4 linked regions of the Arabidopsis thaliana genome follow. The protein of the gene in region 2 interacts with the protein of the main gene of each other region in a pairwise test. Each region holds a gene or a part of one and is shown on either strand. Other genes may lie near its edges.

Region 1 (6,649 bases), on a different chromosome or scaffold from region 2:
TTTCAGGCTGGCAAATAAATATTACGTATAAAGAAGATTTGATTCGCCTTGTTGAAAGGAGAATGAGATGATTAGGCCATAATTGGATGTCCGTTGACTTTGTTTCTTCCATGATTAAAATTTAAGAAGTAAGGAAGAGAAACAAATTTGAACCATTGATTTTGTTACTCTTAACTAAATAATCATTTATTCAATAACTAAAGGTCGGTTGGTCTTCAGGTACGAACGTTCTTCTATACTAACTTGTAAATTGTAAACGTAACAGATTGTGCAGTAGAGATTGCGGTTACAAATGTTTGACAACGATCACAAAAATTGTTTAACACCGCGTATTCTTCCGCCAACGTTTGCGGCAGCGGGTGGTTAAAAATTACACTATTTTTAAGTTTTAAATTCAAATAAATTTAATAACTTTTTTGACTCTTGGAGTCATGCTCTGAACACAAATGATTCATTTTCCGGAGAACATAAGTGCATTGTATCCGTCTAATCGTCCCAACATACTTCACTATAAATGTAATTTAATACTAACAATTAAATTGAAGTGTTGTTCGTCGCATGCATGTATGTACGTACAATAATTATATAGTTTCATTATCATAGAACTGTCGGGGAAATTGTGAATCATCACCAGCCGCCACATGAACTTATTTGCCGTTGTTCTGGTTTAAGGCTGGTAAGATTTATTCGGCGGCTGTAGGCCTGTAGCCCTTGAAATATGGTAGACAAGATCGTCCATATAATTAAGATTTTGTTTTTCACTTCTAAATTAATTAATGGGTGACTTGGGCGATTTTGTATTGTTGTTTAGTGGCTAGAAAGAAAACTTTTAACGATAAATTTACTTATGCAAAAATTATATTAGTTTAGTTTAGCAACTTTATATGTACTTAATTAGTAAAATAATACATTTAAATGTAAACTATTTGTACATATTAATGTTGTCCAAACAATATGCACTTTTTGAATTTTTTTACTGTATTCTCCACCTAGTTTTTCTAATTCATCCAAGCATTTTGATGAATTTGCATGTCTCCATAGATGAATTAGTATCTACTATCTCTAAAAACTCAATCTCCACCGAAGATATTGCTTAACCAATGTGCTCCTAGACCAAATCCAAAACCTTAGCCGCTTCATACTTAACATCCACTTTTGTAGCATCCTCAAACTGTTTTACAACCTTTTCAACCGGGACACAATCGCCTTGTCTTAGTAGTGAAGCGTAGGTTAATCATGGATGATGATTTTTGTTCTTTGACAACATCTGGTAAGGTTTTTGGTTTATGGCTCACCCTTTTTACTTTTTCGGTCTTTCTTATATAGTGTTTTGGTGGGTTTTTTCTCGTTCATTTTTCACGACCTTCTTATCCTATTACTAGGGTCATTAAATTGTTCGTTAGGTTAAAGAGATTTACAATATGAAACCGATTATGTCCATTAAAACGTGAATAAGACAGAAAAGAGCACCAAGAAAATGAAAAATAATTTAATGTATGTTCAGGAAATCCTATGAAAACATAATGATTGATCGGGTTTATTGGTTTTGTAGCTGGTGGTTTAAGTGGTTAGGGAAGCTATGTATTTATAATTTATTGATTCAATATGGTTTTGCATCTGAAATATATTTAAGCCCAACCAATAAATATACCATCACTCGCCAAGACCGTTTCTCAGTGGAAACATTTTGTGAGAAGTTCAAGTCGATGTTAATGATTGTAAGGATTTAACGGATGTGATGTTTTTGTAGGTTGAAGATTTAAAGTACTATATGATATGTTGTGTTTTTATCGATTTTGAATCTTTATTTTCTTTCCTAAATCAAAACTGCAATATATTTCCTAAGCTAGCAAAACCCATTCTAGATATAAGTAGAGTCCAGCTTGTAATGCAACTGCAAAGCAAAAATCAAGATATTTCGATACAAGGACTTGATGTCATAAAATTCCAAATTTGTTTTGTCTTGCCACACTTAGTAATTCTCTTCCAATAATGGTTAACTTAATAGTATATAAAATAAAAATGCATATAGGTTCCGTAATTAATCTTCTTTATCGTCACGAGAGGCACATCTTTTTTCAACATTTGACCACTCTCTCTCTCTCTCTCTCAGGACCTTTCGGCGTAATTTCGTCTTCCCCTTTGCTTAACATTTTCTTTCTTTCTTTTTGACCAAATATTAAAAATATATCCATTTTTATTTTATTTTTAATTAAATTCATAATTTGCATTTTATGTATTTATAATAAAAAGGAGAGAATAAATCCAAAAGAGTGAAGCAAAAACATTAAAGCGGAAAGAAAGTGGTAAAACAATAATAGAAACAGGAGAAGCAGAAGTACTACTTCTTCTTCTTCTGCTCTCTTCTCAGACCTTGTTTTGTACTTTCTTCTTCTTCTTCTTCTTCTTGTTTGCGAACTCCGATATCTTCTTCACTACCTTTGACTCCATTTCTTTTTCTTCTTCAGGTGAATTCTACTTTACTTTTCTTCTTACCCCAAATTTACTCTTTTGGGTTTTATGAAAGTTTTGTTTTTTATTACTCAGATCTTGTCCTAGTTCTCCTCCTTGTTCTGTTGTTTTTCTGTTTCGTTTCGAATTGGTTTTGTTTTTCAAGTTTAGGGTTTTGTAGATCAGTTCGTCGTTACTGTAGATTGGAAATGAAAATTATGATTCTTTGGATCTGATTATAGCAGTTCAAGTGTGAACTCTATCTATTACTTGATTTGCTATCTCACAGTTTTTGAATTTCTTAATGGTGTTAGCTACTCGACTTTTAGAGCTCATTTTCTTAACTACTGAACTTGTTTCATTTGAGAGGTACTAATCCAGTATATATTATAAAGTTTAATGCTTTTTCTTACTTGCATTCTTTGAACATGTTTGCTATTTTGGTGAGTGAAACTTTATGTATATTTATGAATTTTGAGCTAAAGTATTGATTGTTTCATAAGTAGGTGTAGGCATTGTCTTGTTATGAGAAGCAACTGTAGCTGGAAGCTCAAGTATTTGTTTTTAGCTGTGGAGCTTGAATCTTGATAGTTTTCGACTTCTATGTTATTACCTGTGGGGATATAGAAACAATCATGGGCTTACTCTGCAGTAGAAGTCGACATCATACTGAAGATACTGATGAGAATACACAGGTTGACTTAAGAGCTCTTGTAACACTCGATGTATGGGAGCATTATTTCTGATACTTCAAGAGTTAACTTGGTTTGTATTAATCTACAGGCTGCTGAAATCGAAAGACGGATAGAGCAAGAAGCAAAGGCTGAAAAGCATATTCGGAAGCTTTTGCTACTTGGTATGTAGACCTTGGATTAGAAATGTGAATGGCATGCCTTGATGAATCTTTTGGTAATAGTTTTCCTCTAATTTTCTGACTTGTGTTTTGTAAAGGTGCTGGGGAATCTGGAAAATCTACAATTTTTAAGCAGGCAAGTCCACAAGGAAAATTGATTGTACTCTTTACTTAAATTTACTTATGAATCCTGCTAATTGAATGATACAAATTTACTAATTTGCAGATAAAACTTCTATTCCAAACGGGATTTGATGAAGGAGAACTAAAGAGCTATGTTCCAGTCATTCATGCCAATGTCTATCAGACTATAAAAGTATGCAATACTTGAAATGACTGTGTCGGTTTTATCCTTCTAATTGGCGGTGTTTTCGAGTTCTTTTGGATTTACAATCTAGAGAATCATTTATATGAGTAATCAAATTTTTTTCATATGTTGATCTTGGTATATTGTACATGTAGCTTAATAGCTACTCTATATTGTTGAACAGTTATTGCATGATGGAACAAAGGAGTTTGCTCAAAATGAAACAGATTCTGCTAAATATATGTTATCTTCTGAAAGTATTGTAAGTGGTTAGATTCATAGGTCACTTGAGCTGTCTTTGTTAGAGTTTTGAGTCTTGTGAGTACCTTGTCTTATGGTAGTCAACTTATTATCGTAATATCAGGCAATTGGGGAGAAACTATCTGAGATTGGTGGTAGGTTAGACTATCCACGTCTTACCAAGGACATCGCTGAGGGAATAGAAACACTATGGAAGGATCCTGCAATTCAGGTGTGTTTGTGTGTGTGTGTGCACGTTTTATTTACTATTGCACTCAAAGTTGAATACATGATTTAAACGTTTCATTTTGTAGGAAACTTGTGCTCGTGGTAATGAGCTTCAGGTTCCTGATTGTACGAAATATCTGATGGAGAACTTGAAGAGACTATCAGATATAAATTATATTCCAACTAAGGTATAACCAAAGTATCATTCTTTGTTGAAAACATTTCAAGTAATGATCTTAAAATGGTTGAATAAAACTCATTGGATCAGCCTCGGAGGATCAATGTATTAACAAACAGAAGCCTTTTGCTTTCCATATTAGCCTAGTTGAGCTAGCATTTTCAGAGACCAGAGTCAATATGCAATTTCTGTGACATGTGTCTTCCGGAATGTGTTGTCATTGGTGCATTTTTTCTATGTTGGTGTTTCAGGAGGATGTACTTTATGCAAGAGTTCGCACAACTGGTGTCGTGGAAATACAGTTCAGGTACCAACTACTTTTTGTTTTACCCTTTTTCCTGTTTGATTGTTAGTCTTTCATAGATGAGTAATTGTTTGATAAGCTCTAAGTGTTAGTCTGGTTCACTAGGCAATATGATTAGCTAGGCGGTTTGTAGTAGCTGTGTTAACAGCTCAGCAACAATCTTGTTAATGTAGTCTCTCTGCGATGTGTAAGTTATTTGGTGAAATGAATAAAAGTGTTTACGGATTCGATTCCTATGATTGCCACTAAGATGTACTAATAGAACATATGAATTCCATACCAATATCAAACTTGTTGTTGTGGTGAATCTACTTGTAATGATCCGTTACCAAAGATGAATTCACAAATGGTATATGAGATAAAGCTTCGTTTATGCAGCCCTGTGGGAGAGAATAAAAAAAGTGGTGAAGTGTACCGATTGTTTGACGTGGGTGGACAGAGAAATGAGAGGAGGAAATGGATTCATCTGTTTGAAGGTGTAACAGCTGTGATATTTTGTGCTGCCATCAGCGAGTAAGCTCACTTCATTATAAATTATAAGATATCCTCGTACTGTCCACATATTGCCAAAACATTAACTGAGTTTTGATCATAGGTACGACCAAACGCTCTTTGAGGACGAGCAGAAAAACAGGATGATGGAGACCAAGGAATTATTCGACTGGGTCCTGAAACAACCCTGTTTTGAGGTTTTTAGTTACATTTTTATCTCATCTTTTAAAAATTTAAAGACACTCTTGAGATGGGTTTGGTTACAAAAACTTGGTTCTCTTTACGCAGAAAACATCCTTCATGCTGTTCTTGAACAAGTTCGACATATTTGAGAAGAAAGTTCTTGACGTAAGAAGAACTAAAGCATATTTATTTGTTTTGATAGGCAAGCAAGTCTTTTTGTTCAATAACGCTTTCTTATTCAATGTGCATAGGTTCCGTTGAACGTTTGCGAGTGGTTCAGAGATTACCAACCAGTTTCAAGTGGGAAACAAGAGATTGAGCATGCATACGAGTAAGCTTGTCTCCAAACTTTACTGATTCCCGCCAAACTGTTACCGTTATATGACCTTATTTTTAATTTGGATTCAGGTTTGTGAAGAAGAAGTTTGAGGAGTTATATTACCAGAACACGGCGCCGGATAGAGTGGACAGGGTATTCAAAATCTACAGGACGACGGCTTTGGACCAGAAGCTTGTAAAGAAAACGTTCAAGCTCGTAGATGAGACACTAAGAAGGAGAAATTTACTGGAGGCTGGCCTTTTATGACCTTATTATTACATATCTCTAGTAAATTACCTCTCCTTATTATTATAAGAAAAACTCGAAAACTGAATGACCGTGTAATTTATCTTTCGGGACAAAAGACTTAGCGATTCAAAATCTAATGTGTCTCGATGGCTACGACTAGTTTCTATTTTATCATTGTTTTTGTTAACATTCCTCTGTCTTTGACTTCTTATTTTTTTTTCTCATCAAAAACATCTCATTTTGATCTTGTTTTTGGGGTTATATTATTATTAAAATGAGGCATCCACATCCCGAAATCTAGAAAGTGAAACACAACACAAAACGTAACTTTATCAGTACTAAAAAGTTTTGGAATGTTCCTAACATGAAAAAGTTCTTACATTAAAAAAAAGTATGGGGGTGAAACTGAACAAATACAAAATATGATGTAAAAACTGAAATAAAAGTAAAACACATGGGGTCTACCGTGATTTCAGAACATTCGAAAAAGCGACTTTAAAAATAATTGCACCGAAGAAAGAAGAACCCTGAAAGCAAAAAACTCTTCGCCGTTGTTGTTTCTTACGTCAAAGAATATTCCTTCTTCTCTTTCGTTAATAGATCCCAAAAAAAAAAAAAAGCTTCATTGATTCTTCTTCCTCTGTTTTTGATTCCGTTTTCGAGCAATCCTCTGAAACATGTATGTTGTTGTTCTCTCTTTCTTCCAATGGTGTTCTGATTTTGCTTTTTCTGTTATACGATAATGATAACAATCGCTTCTTAGTTTGATTAATACGAAACTCTCAAAGATCACGAAATTGGTTTTGTTAGGGAACCATTTAGATCAAGGCTTGTTTGTGATTGTT
Region 2 (4,902 bases):
ACTGAGACTTGAGGGCTAAAATTATTGTTGATAAAGTCTTTTTTGAGTATATGACCATTTGTTGTGTTCCTGAAATTGAAACTGACACTGGATAAATAACAGGGGACGGAGACAATTCCGCTCAATGCAAGGTCACACACGTGTCTATTGTCAGGTGTGTACATAGGCAACGTGAAAGTGTTAGTGAGGGCACAGTTTGGAATGGACAGCTCAAAGGACATTGCAATGAAGCTGACAGTTAGAGCTGAAGACGTTTCTGTCGCCGAGGCCATTCACGAGATTGTTGCCAGCGGCTAAAACCTCTTGCGTTTCTTCAGTATCAGAGAATGTCATCTATTCCTGCTGCTAAACCTCAAAAATACATCAACTATTATAAATAGCATAGTATTACTTTCTTTCTTTTTTCCTTGCATTATTACTGTCAAATACACTATGGAGGTTTTCTTTTTATTTTATGACGGTGCTTTTTGATTTCTCATTTCTGAATTTTATTATTACCCGTTTTCTCGCCAAGTTGGGAATCTACAGATCATCTTGCTCGGATTTGAAAACCACTACCGTACCGTACAACAGGCTAGGCTTTCTCCATAAGTTAGAAACTCAAAAATAGTAGCGTTTTATCGTCTGCGTTCAATATGAAGAGATGATAGTAAAGTAAAGACTGGTGGGTACACAATTGATTACAGAATTCACATTGAGTAGCGTGTTGAAGGAGTTTAGTTCCCAATGAAGAAATAAATAAATCAAAGCACACTACAAAAAGGGAAGTTTAATTCTTCTAACCACTCCACTATTTCAAACCAAACACCTTCCACAAACCGAACCTTACTTCCCGACTACAGAATATATTAACCAACAACTGGAGACGTGACTCCTACTTTCGTTAAATCTTCTTCAAATCACTCTCCTGTGTCCTCCAAACGCCCATATCTGTGTGAATTCAACGAAATTTCATCTATCCTCTAATTTCCTTACAAACATAACATGGTAAATGATAAGCAGAGACACTACTAAGTACTAACCTTTAGATTTGAATCCCAACTTCCTGTACACAAGGCACTTCCATCTGCTGACAACCCCAAACAGCTTATTCTATTCCTGTGTGAATCCTGCTGTAATCCCAAATCCAATACAACCTGCAAGAAAACTCCTCACGTTTCAATCATAAACCTTACATGAGCGAAAACAACTCTCACCACTCATTACTCAAATACTAATTGCTTACCTCTCCCAAGAGGGTATCCCAAACGTAGCAAGTGTTGTTGCTCGCATAGCCAGCGAAAAGAAGTCTCCCTGACACAGAGAATGCAATGGAGGTGACAGGTCCGTTCTCACCATCACCATGTGGCTGATAGACCTGGAGTTGGTGACCAGTCCTTATGTCATACAGCCTGCATGTTCCATCGTCTGATCCAGTCCCAAATCTATACCCATCCGGAAAGAACTTGACCGTATTAACATCTCCCTCGTGACCATGAAAGGTACGCACTGCTCGGCTTGCAGCACGAGTGTCCCACAACCGTGCTGTGGAATCGCATGAACCAGATATAAACCAGTTTGGGTTTGATCCACTGATTGAGACGCTGCAAGAATGGGGAATAATCACCAAGTAAGAGGGCGAGTTTAACTGACTTGCAATATATCATCCATGCTAGCTTTTATACACAAGTCAAATAAACGTATCTATTCAATAAGACCAAACCTATATGTTGATTCCAACACTCGATCCAAATGGTATGGTTCTGGAAGATTAAGTAGTTTTTCAAATATATTCTACTTTATCAAACAAACTGATGCCAATGAGCCAAGGAGATGAAAGCAATATCCATACCTTAGTACATCAGCAGTATGTCCAGACTGAAATTCACCGCCAAAAACAGAAGTTTTGAGACCAGTAGTTACATCCCATAAGATACAAGTTTGATCACCTGAACTGGTGATAAGGTGGGCATCCTCATTTGGGACATACTGACAGCACGAAACATATCCCCTGTGACCAGTGAGCATTCTTGAAACCGGTACAGTTCCATCCTTGTCCGCCGTTGAGCTAAGGCTAAAGATAGAACATACACTGTCTAATCCACCACACGCAACCGACTGACCATTTGGAGAGAAAGCACATGTCATAACCCATGCACAAGGGAGTTTAATAGCATGAGTTTTCTGACTCGTTAGAGCATTCCACACGATTAATCTCCCATCTTGAGATGCACTGACAATCCGGTTCCTCTCCGGTGTCCAATCTAATGAATAAACCTGCAAATCCCACATGTTAAATCAACAACAAGCTAACATTCACAATCAACTCTCCTGTCTCTACATTTCCGTAGGATCTTAAGCAAATCCTCATACATGATAACTGGTAACATCTTATAAACACCACCAACTAAATAACAAACTAGATACAACCCCAAAATGGAAGCTTTTTATCACAGGCTAGAAAACACTCCACAAAGAAGCATGCTTGAAGGATAAAGATGCAAACTTTGAGTCACCTTTCCGGTGTGTCCCTGAAGAGTACGACAACAAACCAGATCCGTTGCTCCGAAGCTCACCCGAGTACGTCCTTGCGCCGCTGAATACCTCGCCACTGGCAAAATTCAATCCAAATTAAAGAAGAAGAAGATGAGAGAAGAAGAGAGACGAAAAGGAATCCACAAACCATCGGTATCGAGGAGCTGGAGGCGTCTCTGTCTAAGCTGGTCACGGAGGTTATTAACGGTCTCCGTAGCGACGGCGTGGCGTTCTTTGAGCTCGGAGACAGACATTCCGGGATCAGACTTAGGCTTCTCCGTCGCCGATCAAATAAAAGGGGGAAACTTTGTGGGGTCTAGAAGAGAAGAAGGTTCATGATTGAGAGAGGGAGATCGAACCCTAGAAAGAATGGATTTGGGGGAATTACGTGGGAAAAGAGAGAGAGATTAAAAAAGCTTGAGAGAAGAATCAGTCAAGACACAAACACGGCTCTCTTGTTGAATGTTGATGATGGCTTCTCTGACCTGAGACTAGCTAGAGAGAGAGAAGAGGGTCAATAGACATTGACTGTTCCCATTAAAGTGGACCCTCTCACAATGATTAAACGATATCGTTTAAGAGCTATGATTGTTTTTGGTTTTGGACGAGATTTTCGATTCAATATAATGAATTTGAAGGATTTTTAACTACATATTTCTTTTTAAGAAACGTAATTTACAGTACAAGAAAAGAGAAAACATGTTAGTTATTTTGCTACGTGAATTTAATTTGTCTAATAGATTCTGTTTTTCTGAATTGGCTACAAGAACATCAATAATCCAATAAAATTAAGATTGTCTCAAGAGAAAATAAAATAAAAACACATTGGTTAAGCATATCAATATCCAACAAAAGATTATCTCAAGAGAATACAAATCAAAAAAAAAAATTTTAAAAAGTAGACGAAGTGATCATCATCTACATTATTGATCAAGAAGTTGCAAAAAAAAAAAAGAACACTAAAAGGAAAAAAGAAAAAGAAAGCTAGTTAGGTTTTTGATTCATGGGCTCATTCAAAAGCCCATTGATTCTCCTTACGAACAGCTTCTTCTTCCTCAGGTGTAAAATCATTCTCAATGTTGAAAGTTGAACGAATCTCCTCTGGAGTCTTGCCTTTGATCATGTCCGCAACAGTTTGGCATGTGAGATCAAACAAGCTTTTTATGTTGAGGTAATTCGCAGCAAGGATGAGTTCAAAGATGGTGGATTGTTCGAGATCCATGAACTTCTCGTCCCACTTGTTGAGATCCTCTTCAGAGATAGGATTAGCCTCGTCGACGTGGTATTTCTTGCAGTACTCGATCACTTTCACAAGAATCTTGCTTTCCACGTTTGCAAGAGGGATTCCATCAGCAACGCAATCGTCTTCAACCATATGCGCTATGGTCTGCGATTGGATTGCTACCGCTTCTTCCACCTCAAACGACTGACCATCGGAGCTCATCAACACGATCATCTTCGAAGACATTGTGTGTTCCTTGTGGAGGAGGTTTTTCACTGTGAAGCAAATTTGATGAAAGATTTAAGAATTTAGAGAGCGAACAAATTGTGTTAAGGTGATGAAGTTGTGAAACCCTATGCGTCTTTGTATTTATAAGCCCTAGCTAGAGTCGGTGAGATCAACCATTCCTTTTTTAAGAAGGAAATAGTTATTTTCCTTAACCGAAGAAAATAAGTAAATTATTTGTCGACTCCTTTTCATAAAAGGTAATTTCAGATGAGTAAACCAAAATAAACCGGGTCAAATTTTCATTTTTTTGTTGTAGGTTCGGCTCAAATCCTTATTTTCAGAAAATGTAAATTCAGTAAAGTGAACCAGCTAAACCGGTTTAAATTTACAATAGGCCCAATTATAAAGGTACGGCGTAAAATGTAACAATTTAAGAGGGATATAGATATACATTGGAATATAGGAAACTTTATCCAAAGATAATATTCAGATTCATTTATAAGAAACCAAAAGAAGTCTAGTAGATATAGCCGTTACAGACTATATAATACAATTGAGATAGAATGTGTGTAACCATTATAAACTAATAACAAACTCGATTACACTTAATACAGAGGAAGGAGAGGAGATTAACAAGTAGGCGTAATTAATTAATTACTTACCTCCAAGAGCTAATTGAGCCATTTACATATATACATGGAAGATAAGGGACAAAAAGATGAGTAGAAAAGATAGAGAAGAAGAGACTTTTGGTTCAGTTGCTCCATTCTTCTTCTCTACTTTGTCTGAGCTCACATACTTGTTCATTACTGCTTTACTTCCTCCTCCTCCTCCTCCTCCTCCTCCTCCTCCTCCCGGATATACGCAATTGTTGTAACCTATCAAATTCAGATTCAAGATAATTAAGAAACCCAATTAGTATAATAAAGCATGTAGAA
Region 3 (5,628 bases), on a different chromosome or scaffold from region 2:
CGCTCCAAGTCCCTCCTTATTCTGCTATTGTTAACACTCTTGCTGATGAGATTAAGGATTTGAAGAAAGATGGTGCGAAAGACGTGGAGAGGGTACAAGTAAAGATAGGTGTTACTGTCTCGAGGTTTCCCGGTGAAGATGATCACGTAGATGTGCAAGTGCAACTTGCGGTTGCTCCAGCGAACGATGAGGCGGTGGAGATGCACTTGGAGACGCTTGTTGTTGAGAATGAAGGCTATTGTGTGATATGCATGGATAATATCCGAGTTGGGTCAGATGTGGAAGCGGGTCGAATGCCGTGTTCGCATGTGTTTCATCGTACTTGTGGAGAGGAATGGCTTAGGAACAGTGGGATTTGTCCGGTGTGTCGTGCCCTGTTTCCGGCTTAAAACTTTAAAACCCCTTTTGTATTAGTTTTGTGCTATATGAACCCTAGTTTCATGCTTTATCTCTAGATTGTCACTTTCACTTTTCTAATGAAGTATGTTTTACCTAGTTCATTGCTATTTTTGTTTAAACTTTGATGTGAAACACACTAAATAAAAAGAAAAGGATCAGATATAAGATTCATAAGTCCAAAGGTACATAACAACAACAAAACAAGATCACAAAGCTACATTCTCTCACCACGTCATTGTACGAATATAAAAACCAAAGGGGTAAAGAAGTGCATCATCATAACAACCATTTGACTTCTTAATTCTAAAGGTAGACACTCAAGTTTTATTCAAAGCTACAACAGCAGCAAAGCAGAGAGGGAGAGAGAGATCATTACTTGACATGCTTAGTGAGATTAGGTTGTAAGGATTGGAGGCAGGTAGTCTGATTTGGTGCCGAGGATACGGGCCTTTGTGTCCGGGAAGAATTCAAATCCTGGAAGCTCAGTGATGTCGCCTTCGCTGGCTACACCGATCGGGTAGCGGAGCAAGTGACCAGGAAGGTCATGTTCGAGTGACTCACTTGAGTAAAAGTCCCAATACTTGTCAGAAATGCGGTTAACTTTCTCAATGCATTCCAAGCTTGATGGATCGAGGAAGGTTTCATCGAGCATTCCCAGGTGTTCGTACCAGAGTGACATACGAAACCCATGGATCTGGCCACGAGCTGGTTGTCTATGGGACAAGTGATGTGGTTGATAACCTCCCATTGCTATCTCAGAGTCTCTTGCACCGTCCATTGACCTCTGGTTGATGTTAGCAGACCCAATGATAATGTATTCATCGTCAACTGCAAAATGGATTTCATCAAATGAATCAGGCACAACATTTATGTATACTTCTCAAGTTTTTTTCCGTTGAAATGTGAACTTACCGATCATCATTTTGGTGTGGACGTAAATCATGAAACGGCGTGCTTCTTGCGCCCTCATGTAATCAGTGTCGGGGTCTGGTTTCTCAGCAGGCTCATACTCTCCATCTTTCTTGACCTCACGGTTTCCAAGACAGAAGAATGTCAGATAGTTTCTTGGATCTTCCTCAAGACCCTGGGCCCTGAGAGCCTGAATCACATCCTTGTACATCATCTCCATGGTCCTCCTCTGCCAGTCTAATATAGCTTGCACTGATCCACTCTCTGGGAGACCTTCTGGCCACATTGGAACCACAACATAGACCCTGAACTTCTCTCCTTTCTCAATCTTGCTAACTATCTTCAGCGACAACTCTTTTGGGATTAAGTGCAGGGCATTGATGTCCTCAGGAGTAATACCATCGGCTGCCCAAGCAAAAGAACTCCCAAGGAAGTACTGGTTTTCAACGTAGATGAAATCCTTAGCACGTCTGATTGCATGAATGTAAGCATCTTGGATACTCCTATCAATGATGTTATCTTTCCCACTTACAAGCCCGGCTTCCGCAGCAGCTTCAGGCGACTCGGGAAACCCAGCAGCAGCTCCTCCATCAATGGACCTAAACAATTGGACATTCCACACATCGTGGTCCTCTTGGAACATAACAGGAGAAGGGGTGATAATAATATCACTAAGATCTCTCAACTTAACCAGAATGTCTTTACCACCCTGCTTGCTCCATCTCTGCTCGAAGTTGTACATGACATCCCAAGCAATTGGACCTTCAAGACGGGAGTGAATGTCATGCCAAGGCTCCCTTGGACCACCTTTAGTGATAGCAGCACCAGTGAAGTTAGGTTGATGGAAGTCATCATGGTGGACTGTGTCCAATGTCCTGAACAAGGAGTGGAACGGAGTGTCGTATCTTCCATCACAAAGATCAATACCGCCAACAAAACTCACAATTCTCCTCATTTCTGATCCTCCTCTGCTTGGCATCTCGCTGTCCACAACAACGATTTTCTGATGATGCGTGAACATAGTAGAGATCTGCAAACTTTGGACTATGCTACCACCGTCATCCGGGTTACGAGGGCACAGAATACAATGGACATCACTTCCCCTGAAGAAATTCTCGGTCTCTTCATCATGAGTAGCCATGAGCCCATCTTTCTTCAGCACATCAACAGAAGTTCTGTCATCCCAAACAAGCAAAAGAACCCTGACACCTTCACTAGCCTTCTTCTTGAGTAGCTCACCAATGGTCACATCACCTCCAGGCTTAGGCCTCCTCGAGTCCCTCACTAAAGCAATCTCAGCGTAAACAGACCAACCAGTAATGTAGATCAAGTGTTTTGCATTGCTAATAGCATCAAAAATATCCTCCCAACATCTTTGAGGCTCATAGTTCTTCCCTCCAGCGAGAGGAATTCTAGGGACAAAGTTGTCTGGAATATGAGCATCTTGGTACAGAGAAACTTTGCAGCCTTGTCTCTGCGAGAAGAATGTGTATGGCACTCCAGGGAACTTGGCACTTTTGATACCCATGTTCCAGTTACGATCCTCCTCAACATGGAAATATTGAAGCTTGACATGAATCTTTGATCCTCCCTGAATAGGGTTTCTGTCATTATCCAAGATCTCAACCCACTGATCCACTTCCTCGCCGTTAATGACTTGATCAACAGGAATGTAAGCTCTTCCGATAAGGGTAGCTCCAATGGGATTATCATCTTTAACAGTGAAGATGATATCAGAAGCCAAGTGAGCACAGTAAATATGAAACGACTCATACCACTTTGGGTTCTTAGGTTCATTTTTGATCTTCCTGGTTCTCCCAACTCTAGCTTTTTGCAGATCAATCGTCGCATACAACTGTGTTTCTCCTTTACCAACACCAATCGTCTCTTCTACATTTGCCAGAATCTGAAAGTTTCATCAGAAAAATAAAGATCAAACTGTGTATTAGTCCACAGACTAATTTGAACTACAAAATAAGACGTCAGGATTGGCGCAAAAATGATGCAATAACAATGGATCTTATTATACCTTGCCAAGGAAGCCTTGCCTAACACCACCACCATGGAGGGCATCAACTTCATAGATGGTAGCATGTAAAGTCCCGTGCAACAGATGCTGCGCCATTTTTTCACCTTTAGCAATAAGAATTGACCAGAACACAATATTAGTTTCTGAAAAAACTAAAAAAAAAGAAAAGCGAGATCTACGAATCTCAAAGATCTGGTATCAAAATTTTAGAGCAGCTAAATTTTCGCAGTATTGTCCTAAAAACAAGGAACACTAGTTGAATAGTGAAACTAAAGTCACTGATCTAACTCAAAACTAAAGATCGTATCAGTGTAACACTAGAGGACAATAGCAAATGAACCCGATCGTTGATTATCCAAAAAGAAAAAAAAAAAAGTCAGCGAGTTCCACTTATCTCACAAAACAAAGAACCACCTAAATGATCAAACGAGTTTTAATCGCAAAACAAGTAAAGAGAAACATAAAGATAAAATGAATGAGATTCATAGAGATGAAGTAGAGAAATACTAACTTCGAATTATTCCCAGAAACTGAGATCTGATCGGAGAAACTCAATCGTTCGGTGGTCAGAAGAAGAATTCGGGATCTGGTCCGTGATGGAAGCTCTTTAAGAGCTACTTTGTGGAGCTGCTGTAATTTAATTGGAGCGTGTGGGGCCACTTTTTCATTATTTTCTACAGATCTTTGATGATTTAATAGTGACCCAACGTACGAATTGTTATTAGTTTCAGCCCTACACGTTTTTAGTTTCACAATTAGGCCCTAAATAGTTACTCTCAAGAGATTCCTTTCAATTTATAACTTATAATATATAGTTAATGTTACTAGATAACGATATAATTGTGGTTGGATTATGTTATCTCACATCCTAATAGTAATATTTTACGTTACATCTAAAATTATATAATAGAGTGAAAAAGATAAAATGGAAAGTTTAGTGACTAATTGAAAATCTTGAAAAGTTTTAAGAAGGCCGACATAAAAAAAGGAAATAAATATTCAAAGTTGTAATAAAATCCCTGACTTGAGGATAGGGGAGACAAAAAAAAAAAAGAGATATCCAAATCGTGCGCCCGACGTTCTGCATCCAAACGTTACGACATCGTTTCCCAAGCTGAATCCTCACCGTCCATCACAAGAAAACTATATGGTGTACTTTTCTCAAGTAGTACGTGTTCGCATAATGACATGAATTCACTAGCAATAATTTAATTGCTTCATCATTGGATCTCACACATCTTCGCTATAAGATTGGGTAGTTTTTTTTTTCGTTTTTTTTGGGTAAAGAAGAATGTGATAGTTGTATAAAATATTACTCCTCATAAACGGAACGTGGCCACATGGGGATTATACAATGTATTTGCATTCTCTGGTATCTAATAAGTTCTAATGTACTAACCATCAGCAAAACCGTCAATCATAAAAATGCGGTGAAGAACAGATCAGAGGTGTCTCATATATGGGGATCAAAGGGAAAATTAAGACAGTATTGGCAACTCGGCGTAATGCTAAATTGTAACACAATGGTAGGATACAAGGGAGCTTATTTTGGAGCTTATTCCCCTATCTATGTTTATTATTTAGCAATGCTCACGGCAAGGTTTCTGATACGCAGCCACCGCTCACCGGTGACTTGTCTGAAAAATCTGGACTTAAAATAACCCAATTCCTTTGTTTTGCTTCTATATTAGCTTATTTTAGAAAATAGGACTTTTGAATTTTAGTTGACCCAAGGAAAAAATGAAGAAGGGACGTAGAAACTAGAAATTTAGGTGCTATTGATATTTGAATATGGGCCATAATTGGGCCTGGTGATTTAACATTCTGTACACGTATTTAGGCCTGTATCTTGGAATGATTTTTTTTTTTTGTGGTAGGGTAAAACTTGGAATGAAATTTAGGTGCACCTATTGATATTGTCCGACTGTCTGAACTGAATTTGATAAGTAGTACGTGAATCTTTAACTGTTTAGTAGGAAAAAAAAGAAAAAAAATCAAAAGAATATTACTATAATTAAACTACAATAAGTACATAATTAGTTTTTTTTTTTTTCTTATAAGCAAAAAGAAAAAAGCTAAAATAGAAAACCCAAAAGCGAAGCCGAAGAAAAGAAACTAAAAGCGAATCATGAAAGTCAAAAATAGACAGAAAAGATAAGAACATCTCCATCAGTAGTCTCTAGTATGGTTTTTCACTAACTAAAAAATATAAAATAATAATAAAGTAGGAGAGAGAGAAAAGTAAATAATAGGTTACATTTTAATAGGTTAAATTATTATTTTCAGAATAA
Region 4 (3,841 bases), on a different chromosome or scaffold from region 2:
ATGGGATAGATTTGGAATCAAAACTCAAGTGTCAAGGTGGATGTGATACATGGATGGTGAAATGTATTTGCAGAGCTAGAGATGATGATGGCGAGAGGATGATATCTTGTGATGTTTGTGAGGTATGGCAACATACACGATGTTGTGGGATTGATGATTCAGATACTTTGCCTCCACTTTTTGTTTGTTCGAATTGCTGTGAAGAATTTGCAGAGCAACAGAGGAAAGTGCTGCAGCCAAAGTATGAGTTTCCAAGTTCAGAGAATGTGTTTTTGCTTGAATCTGCAGATGATTTCTTTGGAGATCAGAGATGTCTTGGTATGATTTTTCCTGAAGAAAACTATCTTTTGTAAAGTCAGTTTTTGGATCAAACTTTGTAGATAATCAATTCTTTTGTAAACAAAACCAAATTGTATATGTGATTTGTTTGCCTCAATATAAATGAGTTTGGCTTTGTGGTTTACAAGTTGGTTAAGAGACACTGTTTACAAAGAGAGGGTTTTAAAAACAGAGGAAATAAGAAACAGAGCTTTGTGAATAAGGTCTGGTTTATCAAACCGTCGGTCCAATCCGGTTTTTGGAAACATTGATGATTTGAAAAAAATTGTGGTGTTTCCTCTATACAAAATGTATTAAAATGGTTTCTTAACATGTTTAAACTCAATTGAAGAAGAATAAGAACGATCAACAAAACCATTCATCTTCATAACTTTATTCATCATCTTCAACAACTCTGTAACTTTCTCCTTAGTTCCTTCACCACATCCAACTTGTAACATGACAACAAGCTTCTTAAACGCACCTAATCTCAACGCTTCTTCAACTTCAGACCCATCACCACTTTTACAAACCTTCCACATCACAGAAACCAAATCTTTCTTCTCAGAAATCTTCAAAATCTTCTTCACCAAAATCGGTATCACCAGCTTGTTTCTTCTCACTTTCTCTCTTCCTTCTTTAGTTTCACAAATCACGTTTAATACCGTTAACGCTTTCTCGCAAACGCTGTTTTCTGAATCCACTAGCATCTCCACTGTTATATTCACAAGATCCAATTCAAGAAACCTTGATACGGTTTCTTGATTTGTCAAGATCATATGGTGGATTGATATTAACGAGTTGACGCATGTAGAATCGCGATTAATCGATTTCATGAACGCTTCTTGGACGCCATTGATCTTTGTTAACGCGTGAACGTGAGTTACGTTAAGCTCAAGAAGCTCTTTTATCAAAAACGCAGCGTTTTGATCACCATTTCTCAACAGTTCCACTAAACGATTAAACGACGACGTCGTGGTGAGTTTGGATTGACCTTCTAAACCAATGGGAAGCATCCACGTCAGCACAGACACAGTCTCCTCCAATAATAATGACGCATTTGCGTTTTCGGAAAACGCGTCGAAGCAAACGCAAAGAACCAATCCCGCGCCGTTTTCCTTAACGCATTTTCGATTCCTCTCGCTCTCTTTTCCTAGTCTCGTCATCTTCGTAACCATCTCCATGCACGCGGCGTAGTCTCCACGCCGCGTAGCAGCGGATAACCTCTCACAAATCTCGGAGACTTGATGACTGGTCACGGGTACACGAGGCGTCGGGATTCGTTCAATCCCGCCGCCTAGTGACGACCCGCACCAACCTTGAATCATCCTCCGAATCGTATGGTTCGGAATCTGTTCCAAACTTGTCAAAACCGTGTTTGTAACGGGACAAGTTTGGTACCCGGACTCGAACCACTTCTCGATGTTTTCGCGATCGTAAGTGATCCCCGAGGCAATAATCACCGGATCCTTCATTAGCTCGTAAGATATCGGACATTGAAACTGCGATGGTATGGTTATCTCCACTTCCTCCGAGCAACTTGTCACCGGAATGATCTCTTTCTTGCTAACACTTCCTCCACGACGTCTCACTCTCAATGAAAGTCCCATTCTTTGACCGTTTATTACTAATGGAGAACACAAGTGGGGATGAGAGATTTATATATGTATGGATGTGAATATAGAGATAATAAAATGTATGCATTTTAAATTAGTCGTTATCATACGCTTCTCGAACGCGAGTGGGTCAAAGTTAATTTTTAGGTAAAAGAAAAAAAAAACATATCACGGGAAAAATGATTTTTGAATTAATGAAGGTTTATGTCATATTATTCGCTAGCTGTTAAAGAAGCGTAAAAATTGACCGTTGAATGTTTGAATTTAATGACATTGACAACTAATCCAGAAATAGGAAAAAATTAAAGTTCTTAAACCTATTCTTGGGTTGTTTTTTTTGTTTCGCTCTTCTTTTTTGGTCTTGAGGATTGAGTTTTTTTTTTCACAAAAAGAAATCAACTGTAAAACTTTTTTTTTATATCAATGTTAAATATTTATATTTTTTTGCAAGCTTTTGAAAAAAATTACAGAAAAATATAAGTAGAAGGAAAAAATCGAAAGCAGAAGAAAATAACAAAAACTATAACAGACTACAACATAAACAACAAAAAGCCATAAGCAAAAATCCAACAAGTTGACTTCCGGTAAGAAACACCGATTCCGAACCGCGAACATCAAATATTTGTGATTTTAAAGAGTTTGTGCCTTTTTGGTATGTTTTGGTAAGATCGATTATGCATAAAAAATATTAGACAAATATAGATGTAGAAAATTATGTTGATAAGATTTTTCTTATAACCCCGAAACCAAATCGGTCTACAATTTAGTTTGGTTTAATCGTAGTGAGAAACCATACAAATTAGAGAGTATTTTTAGTCTACAATTGGAGAGTATTTTTGTCTTTGCTATAAAAAATAATATTGAAATGAAGAATGATGTGAAATCGGCTAGAGATTGACTAAGTCAGTGGTCAAGAGTCGGTGCATGAAAACGCTACCATGCGCATATGGACATTACGTAACGTTCTTACCTGTTTTGATAATTCGCTTGAGATTTTATGAGTCTGTCCATATTTCTCCCACTACATATATCCTTCTTTAAGAAAAGGAAAAGATAATATTAGTAAGAAACACGGCAACACCTATCTCCAACTCATAATGTGATTATGTGAACCATCCTTGATATTGTGTTTCCAGCTATCTTTGTGTCCACCAGCATCTTAGCCAAACTATATTACACAACTTGCTTCATTTCTACATAATAACTTTAGGTTCGAAATCGAATGGAATGGGCTTCATTGTTGGAGAGTTGGGCTTCAATTTTGTAAACTCTTTTTAGCGATTTAGTTGGTTTAATTCTTTGAGATACTTCGATGAACTCGAGTAACATAGTAGTGCGCAAAATTCAAATCTATGTACTTCTCTTCGTTAAGACTGGTGACACAAACAATTTTATAATAAACAAAAATGTTATTTACCTCAAAAATGATAAGGAGACCAAGATTATTTAGAGAATTAATAGAAAAAGTAAGGTTAAGTTAGTGCATGTACCTGAAAAGAGAAATTGATCCTATATTTTACGTAAAAAAGTGTTAATCTTAATTGAAAAATAAAATTCTGAGATATCATTTACTAAAATAATAAGAGAATTGTTATTTTATTACTACTTCTGACTCAATCGATTTTTGTACTATCTTGTGACTTGTAACATATGAAATGTTATTTATATGCATACAACGAGATAAAGACTACCTGTTTAGTAGCACTGTACAATGTGAACATAAATCATCCATAGACCATAGTACTAAACGTGTTAAATAAATAAAGATCTCACTTTTTCCAAATTTCAGAGCATAATCTTGGTTTGGTCTAATATTTTTTTGATTATGAAAAGAAAGTATATAAATAAGAAATAATGTGTCTCTCTTTGCTTATGAGACACAAAAGTACAAATGTGAGAAAAAGTAT

What was found.
Region 1: the proteins of AGB1 (region 2) and GP ALPHA 1 interact in binary tests that used the Arabidopsis thaliana proteins (3 or more experiments, as listed by UniProt).
Region 3: the proteins of AGB1 (region 2) and PLDALPHA1 come close enough for resonance energy transfer, tested with the Arabidopsis thaliana proteins (one study listed by BioGRID).
Region 4: the proteins of AGB1 (region 2) and CMPG1 interact in a two-hybrid assay, tested with the Arabidopsis thaliana proteins (one study listed by BioGRID).

Annotation. Positions count from the first base shown.
Region 1 is NC_003071.7:11,195,001-11,201,649, forward strand, and holds GP ALPHA 1 (G protein alpha subunit 1), read left to right. Parts: upstream 1-1,995; 5' UTR 1,996-2,468; exon of another isoform or gene 2,469-2,820; intron 2,821-2,957; 5' UTR 2,958-3,086; coding exon 3,087-3,146; intron 3,147-3,234; coding exon 3,235-3,307; intron 3,308-3,402; coding exon 3,403-3,440; intron 3,441-3,530; coding exon 3,531-3,620; intron 3,621-3,795; coding exon 3,796-3,873; intron 3,874-3,975; coding exon 3,976-4,083; intron 4,084-4,165; coding exon 4,166-4,267; intron 4,268-4,508; coding exon 4,509-4,564; intron 4,565-4,939; coding exon 4,940-5,074; intron 5,075-5,156; coding exon 5,157-5,250; intron 5,251-5,341; coding exon 5,342-5,401; intron 5,402-5,487; coding exon 5,488-5,567; intron 5,568-5,644; coding exon 5,645-5,822; 3' UTR 5,823-6,102; downstream 6,103-6,649. UniProt on the Arabidopsis thaliana protein: Exhibits a fast rate of basal nucleotide exchange. Guanine nucleotide-binding proteins (G proteins) are involved as modulators or transducers in various transmembrane signaling systems.
Region 2 is NC_003075.7:16,476,499-16,481,400, forward strand, and holds AGB1 (GTP binding protein beta 1), read right to left. Parts: upstream 3,123-4,902; 5' UTR 2,769-3,122; coding exon 2,663-2,768; intron 2,591-2,662; coding exon 2,496-2,590; exon of another isoform or gene 2,272-2,495; coding exon of another isoform or gene 2,257-2,271; coding exon 1,832-2,256; intron 1,584-1,831; coding exon 1,226-1,583; intron 1,148-1,225; coding exon of another isoform or gene 1,137-1,147; coding exon 1,023-1,136; intron 931-1,022; coding exon 895-930; 3' UTR 533-894; downstream 1-532. Other genes in the region: AT4G34450 (coatomer gamma-2 subunit, putative / gamma-2 coat protein, putative / gamma-2 COP), read left to right, coding at 103-297; SK12 (SKP1-like 12), read right to left, coding at 3,524-3,982; AT4G34480 (O-Glycosyl hydrolases family 17 protein), read right to left, coding at 4,649-4,842. UniProt on the Arabidopsis thaliana protein: Guanine nucleotide-binding proteins (G proteins) are involved as a modulator or transducer in various transmembrane signaling systems.
Region 3 is NC_003074.8:5,328,640-5,334,267, reverse strand, and holds PLDALPHA1 (phospholipase D alpha 1), read right to left. Parts: upstream 4,075-5,628; 5' UTR 3,849-4,074; intron 3,442-3,848; 5' UTR 3,434-3,441; coding exon 3,338-3,433; intron 3,215-3,337; coding exon 1,312-3,214; intron 1,228-1,311; coding exon 794-1,227; 3' UTR 523-793; downstream 1-522. Other genes in the region: AT3G15740 (RING/U-box superfamily protein), read left to right, coding at 1-389. UniProt on the Arabidopsis thaliana protein: Hydrolyzes glycerol-phospholipids at the terminal phosphodiesteric bond to generate phosphatidic acids (PA).
Region 4 is NC_003070.9:24,635,305-24,639,145, reverse strand, and holds CMPG1 (CYS, MET, PRO, and GLY protein 1), read right to left. Parts: upstream 1,951-3,841; 5' UTR 1,929-1,950; coding exon 633-1,928; 3' UTR 538-632; downstream 1-537. Other genes in the region: MMD1 (RING/FYVE/PHD zinc finger superfamily protein), read left to right, coding at 1-353. UniProt on the Arabidopsis thaliana protein: Functions as an E3 ubiquitin ligase.